2 linked regions of the Cricetulus griseus genome follow. The protein of the gene in region 1 interacts with the protein of each later gene in a biochemical or structural test. Links are inferred from orthologs where the notes say so. Each region holds a gene or a part of one and is shown on either strand. Other genes may lie near its edges.

Region 1 (5,515 bases):
AAAGGGCTGCTGACCTCCCCAACCAAAATGCTTCTTAGCTCTGACCCTTGACAGAAGTCTTAGGGCAACTACACTGGGGTAGAGACAGACTTCACCTGCCCAGTACCTGGAGCTGTTGAAGGCAAGGCTGAAAGCAATGGAGGCTCACCCTGGAAACACTGTGGTACTCCAGTCCCCCAACCCCAAGCCCTCTGCAGTTGTCCAACGGGTCTGGGCAGCAGCAGGATGCAACCTAGGAGCCAGCAGTCCCAGTTATGTCTCTGGAGACGCTTCTGCTGCTGCCTTCCCTTATTCTCTGTGGGTTTTGAGAGGTTCATTTGCTGCCATTTCCCTGAAAGTGATGGAGAGAAGCAAGGTTACTTCATGAATAGCAGAATAGTTTATCCATGAATACTTGCTATTAAGCAGAGAGTTATAAAGGCAAATTAGATCAGGTCACTGTCTTGCTGAATCAGTCCTTCAATCGCTCCATGGTCCCCCTATGCTCTTGTGTTCAAAGTTCACTATCACAGCCTCTCCTAGTCTCCTAGTGTGTCACATTTGTCCCTGCTACTGGGTCTGTTTTTATCCTTTTTTTTTTTTTTTTCTTATCCAGTATACTGTGCCGTCCTCTCTTTGGTCTCAGTTTAGGTGTCATGGGGGAGGGGCTGCTTTCCTGAGCAACTTTGCATTTGTACTTATTTTCCTTCTAAATCTCTTGCTTCCCCTGTAGCAGAGTCTGGGTTGTCCTTGTTTTCTGGGCCTGCTGTGAGCTCTGCTATCTGGTAGAAGCTCAGAGACTGACTGAATGAAGTGTCTTGATAAGTAGGCTGGTTTTTTTTTTTTTTTTTTTTTTTTTTTTTTGATGAGGTAGTGTGCTAAGAATAGAGGCTGTTAGGCTGGCGTTATAGTTCCAATGGTACAGTACTTGCCTAGAATAGATACTCTCACTTTCCTAATGAAGGACTTCCCAATCAAGGGATTTGTTTCCAACAGACCTACCTACCACTTCACCTTTCTAAAATTACGGTACCACCACCATCCATCCCCACTGCATATGCTGATAAGAGGCACTGCTAAATGCCCAACTCGAATCCTGAGCTCTACCTGCAGAATTGGAGGGTTCTTGCAGAGGCCACTAAGGTGGTGGCCCTGCGAATTCTCTTCCCTGTCACCAGCACTCAGTGTTCTCTGCCTGCCAAGCATGGGGTTGGGATAGACGGAGATTTACTCACCATGAAGGAAAATGTGTGGAGCCATCAGGTGTGGATCCATTCTGGCCACCCAGACCTGGAGGCAGGAACACACCCAGAGCTGCAGGAGGCTGAGGGTGGGGATCTGAGCAGGCTCAGGTAAGGGGCCACTGGTACAGTTTAAGAGATTGGGGCTGGGATGCTAGGGACTGGTAGTATTGTCTGGTAAGGGTTTTTGAGAAACCGTTACAACGTGATTATGGACAGGTGGGGATTCTGATGTAAGATGGTATGGGGGTGTAAGTCTGGGTGCAACGAGGCTTCTGGGAGACCAGTGGCAGTCTACGCGGACACAGGAGAAACAAGTGGTATAGCTTGGTGGTGGTAGGGGCAGCCAGGCCAAGGAGGTTCGTAGGGAGCCTCACCTGGACGGTGATACAACCCGGTCACTGTGTTCCCGTAGAACCCCCACGCCAGCTGGATGCCCAGGAGACTTAACACCAACCACAGCAGGAGCAGCTTGAAGAGAGTCACTCGCATGTCTTGTGTCTCCCACTCCCGCAGGAATTCGCTGCCCAGGGTGCCCAGCGCTCCGAGCACCGACGCGGGCAGAGCTTGCAAAAACTGCCCAGACCAAGGTTCCGCCATGACTGGCCAGCGCCCCACCGGGTGTACTGTCACCGTAGTTCTCACTGCGCAAGCGCACGGTCTTCCGGGGTTAGAGAAGTAGGTGCGCACGCGTAATGTCGGGCAAAGACGATCTACTTCGCTTGCGCGAAGTGTTGGCAGTTTGGGGCAGGGCTTTAAAACCGCGCAGGCGCACCCATCCCCGCCCTGCTACTTAAAGGATGAGTGAATCGGTGAGTATAAAATAGCAACTTGGTCTTTTATAGCCCCGGAGTTCCCGTGATGCTCCACGCGGCCGCAATGATTGGTTAAGCGTCTTGCTTTTAGGGCGTGGTTGCGCTCTTGAGCAATCGTGGACGAACTGCGAGAGTGCGCGCGTGCGCGGGGCCGCGACTGGCGCCAGCTCGAGCCCGCAGGGCGCTCGGGGGCGCGCACGTCGCTCCCCGCCCTCCCGCCACCGCCCGCCCTCGTTCGCTCGCGCTCCCCGCCCGCCGCCCGCCGCCCGCGGTCCTCCGTCGGTTCTCTGCTGAGTCCGCCGTCTTCCGCGGAGCTGCCGGTCCTCGTCTCCGAGCTTGCGGACTCGCGGACAGGCGTCCTCGGCGCGAAGAGGCCGGACTTGGAGTGGTCGCCTTGAGGTGAGCAGAAGCATTCCCTCCAGCCGCCTCGGCTCCGGGGGCCCGGCCGGCCGGCCGCCGCCGCCGCCCGCCCGCCCGGCACTTTCCGGCACCCGCCGTCCCCCAGTCGCGGGCGCGCCCCACCTGCTGCTCTCGGCCGGCAGCCCTGGCCCCCCCTGACCGGGGCCCCGCGCCCGAGGCGGCGGCCCCGCCCGCCCCGCGCAGTCCCCGAAGCGCGCCCCGCCGCCTCCAGTCCCCCTTCCCCCGCCCGGCCGGGCCTGGTGGAGCCCTAGCCGCCCGCCCTCCCCGTCGCTTCCTCTCAGGGCTGCGCCGGGCTGGGCGGGGGCTCCCGGCCGGCCCGCGACCGCGCTGGGGGAGTCTGCCACTGTGAAGCGCGCGTGGTGTCGGGAGTTGGAATAGGCAAGAAACTCTTTTACAACTCCATTTTGCCTTTTACATTGAATGTGGATCATTAATCACCGTTTTATACCGGGTGAAGACAGTGAGGCTTTGGGTGGATTTTCTGTTTTCAATGCCGTATTCTTAGAGATTGTGTAAGTAAATGATTGTTTTGAAATCTTAGCGGTGAAGACTGTATGGGGGGAAGGTATTTTCCAGTTGAAAAAACATTGTAAAAATAATTTGGAGAGGTTGCATCGATATAGATGCATTTCTACTTAAAGTTACTGCTTTAATTAGGAATCACTTACAGATGGGTTCCCTTTTCAGGTCGTTTTCTTGAAATTGTACTTTTTGCACCCAAATATTTTTTGTTTGTTTTTGTTTTTTTGATTTGTTTAGTAGCATAAAGTGGGAAATTGGCATCTTTTTTTTTTTGTCCCACAATTGGTTCTACTTGTATTTTCTAATAGTCCTCACTAAGAATTTTAACCTCTGTTGGTTATTCATATGGTTCTTTCTGTCTTCTGACATTCTTTTGAAATAAGTGTTGTTTTGCAGGTTATATATAACCAGATTATATTCCTCTGGCAAACCTGGAGGGATGGGAAACTCAATGTAGTATGTGGTGAGAATTTTCAGCCATTAAGTGTCACATGTCCAAGTGTGAATGTACCGTGTGGATGGTTTCTCACCATCCACATGGTTATCTTGGTAGTGATACTGTCTGGAACATTTAACACAAGTATCCTTGTTAACTTAAAATACAAGGCTAGGTCTTACTATTGAAGGCTCTCAGAACTATTGTGAGAATTTGTCTACTTAGGTGTTTCTTAGGGGCATAAAATATATAGAGAGCTTGTGTTTTCTATTTTATTTTTTTTTTCTCTTTGGTGCTTGAAATTAAACTCAGGGCTTGGGGCATAGTGAGCAGGTGCTATATCTCTGAGCTTTATTCCAGCCCTATAACTAACTGAGTCAAAAGTCAAGTGTTCAACTTACAATGCCGCTACCCAGAAATCTCCTGGAGAAGGAAAATCTGCCAACTTTCCCCCATATAGACTGGAAAAGATTTAAAGGATTTATAGGCTGACTCCATTTGTAGGCGTGGAGACTGAGTTCAGGGACTTTTTTCAAGAGAAAGGTTTATTAGCACTCTGCAGAGAGAACAGTGGGAGAGACCCCTGCCTACTACTTAAGAGAAATGGACACAGAGTCTGACTTGAGCGCTGGAACTTGATTTGTAGATCTAGCTGTCCTGCTTCTGCCTTCTGAATAGTGCTGGGATGTGTACCACCGTTCCTGGTGAGCGTTAAAAATTTTGAAGGTCATATGTCTAGTTAGACTAAAACTACTTTTCTATCTGAAAAAAAAAGTCCTCCGTGTACTCTCGGCTAAAATCAGGGTTCCTGATTACTCTCTTGCTGTTCTTCACCTTGCAGATTGTGCGTATTTAGGGAGAATCTGGTCAGTTCACTTGCCAAACAAATTTCTAGTTTTTTGGGGTTTTTTTGGTTTTTGGAGACAGGGTTTCTCTGTGGCTTTGGAGGCTGTCCTGGAACTAGCTCTTGTAGACCAGGCTGGTCTCGAACTCACAGAGATCCGCCTGCCTCTGCCTCCTGAGTGCTGGGGTTAAAGGCGAGCGCCACCAATGCCCGTCTAAATTTCTAGTTTTTGTACATAGCCCTTTTCTGGCTTAGCCTTGTCTTTGAGTTTGTTGATTTTCTTGAGGACCCAGCCTCTGGGAGTTGACTGTTAACAAAGACAACATAATGAGGTCCCCCTAGAATGTCTTCAGGCTACTATAGCCCCTTTGACTAGATTTTAACTTGAACTGGTGAGAATGCACAAATCACATACATAAGCAGTGGTCTGTGCAGTGTGTGAGAATGGTTTTGTTGGAGTGTTTTCATAGTCCTTATTCTTTGTTCATCATTAATCCTTTTAACAGCCCATCCTCTCTATTAGCGGTGTAAATTTTTAGAAGAGTAAAATGTTCAGGTGTTTCTTAGTCCATGGGGTGGGGTGGAAGTAGGAGGAGGAGGAGGTTAACCTTGAGAGATTGGCTAACCTTGTTGCAAGACTGACTTGAGATTAGTGGGTTCTGTAGACAGTACATTTGGTTCCATGGCGTTATAACTGCTAGCAATGATGGCATGCTGTGTACAAATGCTGAATTTAAAAACTGGAAGTAGGTGAGGTGAGAAACCTATAATTGCAGTACTCCAGGAGGTAGGATTGTTAATTTGAGGCCCGCCTGGGCTATATAACAAAATCCTGTCTCAAAAAAAAAGTTCCTAGTAATGTTCTTCTCTCCTCTTTATGTTTCTACCCAGTAGAACTCAGATGTTGCTCCAAAGCATTAGTTATGTTACTTAACTATTTTTTGTGGTACTGAGAATTGTACCCAACTTTGATGCTAGGCAAGCGTTCTGTTGCTTAGCTATATACTATTAGCCTCTATATATTTTAATTAATGGGTTGATAACCTTTCAGCCGGAGGCTTGAGCCCAGAGCATTACACATACTTGCAAGGGCTCTGCTACTGAAGTATATCCCCAACCCTGATTTTACTTTTGTTTTGAGATAGTCTCATTACACTGTTAGGGTATGACCATGAACTCATCAGCAGCCTAGGCTAGTCTTGAACTTCCAACCTTCCTCAGTCTTCCCAGTAACTAGGATTCCAGGCCTATGCCATCA
Region 2 (3,657 bases), on another chromosome or scaffold:
TGTCTTATAGAGTTAGTACTTCAAAATGACCTAGTAATTACAGACTTTATGCTTCTCTTGTTTGTTTTTCTTGTGTTTTGGAATAGTCTTATTAAGTAGGCCAAGCTGGTTTCAAACTCAATAACCATTTGCCTCTGCCTCCCAAGTGCTTTGATTACAGGTGTACACATTCCTGGCTTTCCGTTGTTTTTATTTTGAGACAATATTGATGCAAAGTCCTGGATAGCAATAAACTCTCTATGTAGAACAAGCTAACTTTGCATTTGTGGCTGTGCTCCACATCTGCCTCCTGGGATTACAGGTGTACTGTTTTTCATCTGTAGTTTCTTTGAGCCACAGTCTGTCTGGCTGTGTTGTCTAGGCTGCTCTCACATTCCCAAGTTTAAGCAGCCCTCCTACCTCAGCTTCTTTGTAGCTGGACTGTAAGGCACCTGCTGCCATGCCTGCCTTTCCATATCAGTTTTACACACACACCAAACAAACAAAAAACCTCTTAGCTGGGCGTGGTAGCACACACCTTTAATCTCAGTACTTGGGAGGCAGAGGCAGGCGGATTTTTATGAATTCAAGGCAAGTTCCAGGACAGCCTCCAAAGCTACACAGAGAAACCCTGTCTCGAAAAACAAAAACAAAACAAAATCTCAAAAAATAACTTCTGTAATTTGTCTCAGAATTTTACCTTCAGAGACAGAGGTGGTCTGGCACACTCCAACGTTTGGGAAGCTAAGTCAGGAGATTGTTTAGTTTTTTTGTTTGTTTTTGAGACAGGCTCTCACTATGTAGATCAGGTCTCATTCACAGAGATCTACCTAAATCTGCCTCCCAAGTGCTGGGATTGAAGGTGTGCTTCACTATTGGCAGGCTGAGGTAAGAGATTGCAAATTCAAGGTCAGCCTGAGCAATTTAGCAAGGCTGTCTCAATTTTTAAAAAGGGTAAAGGATATGGGTCAGTGATGGTAGAATACTCATGGTCCTGCTCCAGCATACAGCACTGAAAAAATAAACAGTCTCATTGTACTCATCCAGGGCTATTCATTCAGCAAATGTATGCTGACTGCCACCTGTACAGTCTTCAGGAAGAGCTTACATATATAAAACAAATGTAGAATTAAGTACTGTGAAGAAAAGGGGGCAATAATCTGAGCCCAAGGAAGCTATGGTATCGAGGCAGTGGAGTGGGGCTGGCACTGAACAGGGTTGGCGCTGTTTGGGTCAGCATGCTGAGCTGAGAACTGAAGGGTCTAGTGAGCTTTGCACATAGCTCAAGCAGGCTGACCAGTGCAGAGTCTGGGAGGACACAGTTTCGAGTCTAAGGAGCAGCAGGTTGGCAGGGTAAGGGTAGAGTTGTGGGGAGGGTACCAAAGTCCAGACAGTTTGGGGAATTTCAGAGCTAAAACTGGAGTGGTCACATCCCTATGAGTCTTAGGGACACTGAAGAGTGTGTTTTCAACCCCCAAGCAGCTTCAGAGCGCCTTTATATAGTGCAGTGCGTGAACACCGGTTGTACTGCTAATCTTCCACTTCCTCCCCAGCAAAAAAGGGAGAACCTGTCCCCGCTCTGCCTCATCCCCACAGTGACATCACCCCGGGAAGAGCAGCAGCTTCTGGCCAGCACCTCCAAGGTGAGGCCCCGGAGCCCAGTGGGTTGTGTGTGTGTGTGTGGGGGGGGTTGGAGTTGAAGGCTGCTGTCCTCTCCCAGTCTCTTGACTCCACCCTCCTTCAACTTTCCCCTGCAGCCCGTGGTGAAACTTCTGCATAACCGCAGTAACAACAAGTACTCCTATACCAGGTGAGCGCTGGGGGCATGGGCGTGTGTGCATGTGCTCACACACTGGGGGATGTGGGTGTCCACCGTGTTCACTGGGTAGAATCCTAAGGTTGAGCAGGGTTCTGCTCCTGTCTCTCAAAAGAGTATAGCTACATGAAGAGACTATAGACTGCCTGCCTTTTGAATGCCCCATTCCAGCTGTGCCGCCTGCCACCATAAAGGAAGTTTAGGCCAAGTCTGTGGTAATGGCTGGCATAGGCTAGCTCCTTTTTTCCTAGCAGTATTGGTCTTAGTGTCTGTTGACTTATCCACTCTCCCAATGGTCTCTGGAAGTGTTGCTTTCCATCTAGAGATGATATTGTGGCAGCAAGGGGTAAAATAACCTGCTTCATGTTGCTGAGTTAAAATGTAGCAGGGCTGGAGTGCCTAGTGACAGCCTGGTTGAGGGTGCCTCTGTGCTGTGCAGCAATTTGTGCTGTGCAGCGATTTGTTCAGAAATGCTTCCCTTCTGAGAGGCCTACACTGTTGGAAGTCCCCTGCTGGACAGGACTGGAGTGCTGGAAATATGGGCCCTCTTGGGGGAGCTGAGGGAGGGAAGACAGTCAGTCACCTAAGGCCTGCTGGACCCTGGTCCTCAGCACTTCAGATGACAACTTACTGAAGAACATCGAGCTGTTTGACAAACTAGCCCTGCGCTTCCATGGGCGGCTGCTCTTCCTCAAGGATGTCCTGGGAGATGAGATTTGCTGCTGGTCTTTCTATGGGCAGGGCCGAAAAATCGCCGAAGTGTGCTGCACCTCCATAGTCTATGCCACGGAGAAGAAGCAGACCAAGGTCAGAGGGGATCAGGGAGGGGTGGGAGGTAGGACCAGGACCCTGGACAGAGCAGATCAGCAGGTCAGGCAAGGTCAAGATGTTGGTGGGCATCCAGGGCCAGAGTTCTAGGGCTCTGGCTGTGTATCTTGGGTAGGTCTCACTTCAGGGATGTTTCTCTGCCTATGAACTGAGGATGTTAGAGTAGAACCAGGTTGTTTTGCTTTGCTTTGGTTTTGGTGCAGGGATTCAGCCCCGGTCCTTGTTAAGAAACATGGTAATTTTTTTTGTTGATTTTGTTTTTTTTTTTTCGAGACAGGGTTTCTGTGTGTAAACCTGGCTGTCCTGGAACTCGCTCTGTAGACCAGGCTGGCCTGGAACTCAGAGATCCTCCCGCCTCTGCCTCCCAAATGCTAGGATTAAAGGTATGTGCCACCACTGACCAGCTAACTAGTTAAATTTTAAAATGTCCCAGTACCCAACCTGTGTTAGACACTGCCCCAGACTCTACACCAGACACAGTATGTTGAGCAGAGTGCCCTTTTTCCTGTCAGCTAATGAACTTATGTTTTCAGACCCAAGCCAAGCATCATTTCTCTTTGGACACCATTGCTCATGAAATTTCAATACAACTGCCTCAGATAAAGTTGGTCAAACTCCCTCTGGTTGGACAAAATGTTGTAGTGTAGGGTAGAACAATGGCTGCAGAGCAGTGCTGTACCTTTTCCTGTCTGATGTCCCCTAGCTAATATTAGCCTGGTACTTGTCACTTTGTGGAAGTACTAAGAAATATTGATCAAAGGCAAGGAATAGATAACTCAGCTTCCAGAAGTTTTTGGGTTTTTTTTTCCCCTTCAATTAGGAAGATAGGAAGATACAAAAGGTTAGAATGTAGCTTATGGGGAGGGTGTGGCCATGTATACCTGTAAGTCCACCTAACTAGTCTTGTGTAAGAGGACTGCAAGGTCAAGTGAGACCTGTCTTAAAATAATTAATTCAGTAATAAACAAGTAAATAAACATGCAGGACTAGTCCAGCATGCCAGAGCACTGGGCTCAGTCCTCAGTACTGGGAAG

The links. The genes of interacting proteins can lie anywhere in the genome.
Region 2: of the proteins of Rhoa (region 1) and Kctd13, one has a biochemical effect on the other in vitro, tested with the Homo sapiens proteins (2 studies listed by BioGRID, with this or other methods). The link is inferred for Cricetulus griseus from reciprocal best matches to the Homo sapiens genes RHOA and KCTD13.

Annotation. Positions count from the first base shown.
Region 1 is NC_048597.1:216,484,050-216,489,564, forward strand, and holds the start of Rhoa (transforming protein RhoA), read left to right. Parts: upstream 1-2,292; 5' UTR 2,293-2,434; intron 2,435-2,829; exon of another isoform or gene 2,830-2,967; intron 2,968-5,515. Other genes in the region: Tcta (T-cell leukemia translocation-altered gene protein), read right to left, coding at 69-331, 1,598-1,820. UniProt on the Homo sapiens protein: Small GTPase which cycles between an active GTP-bound and an inactive GDP-bound state.
Region 2 is NC_048596.1:73,807,931-73,811,587, reverse strand, and holds part of Kctd13 (BTB/POZ domain-containing adapter for CUL3-mediated RhoA degradation protein 1), read left to right. Parts: intron 1-1,532; coding exon 1,533-1,622; intron 1,623-1,736; coding exon 1,737-1,789; intron 1,790-2,406; coding exon 2,407-2,602; intron 2,603-3,657. UniProt on the Homo sapiens protein: Substrate-specific adapter of a BCR (BTB-CUL3-RBX1) E3 ubiquitin-protein ligase complex required for synaptic transmission.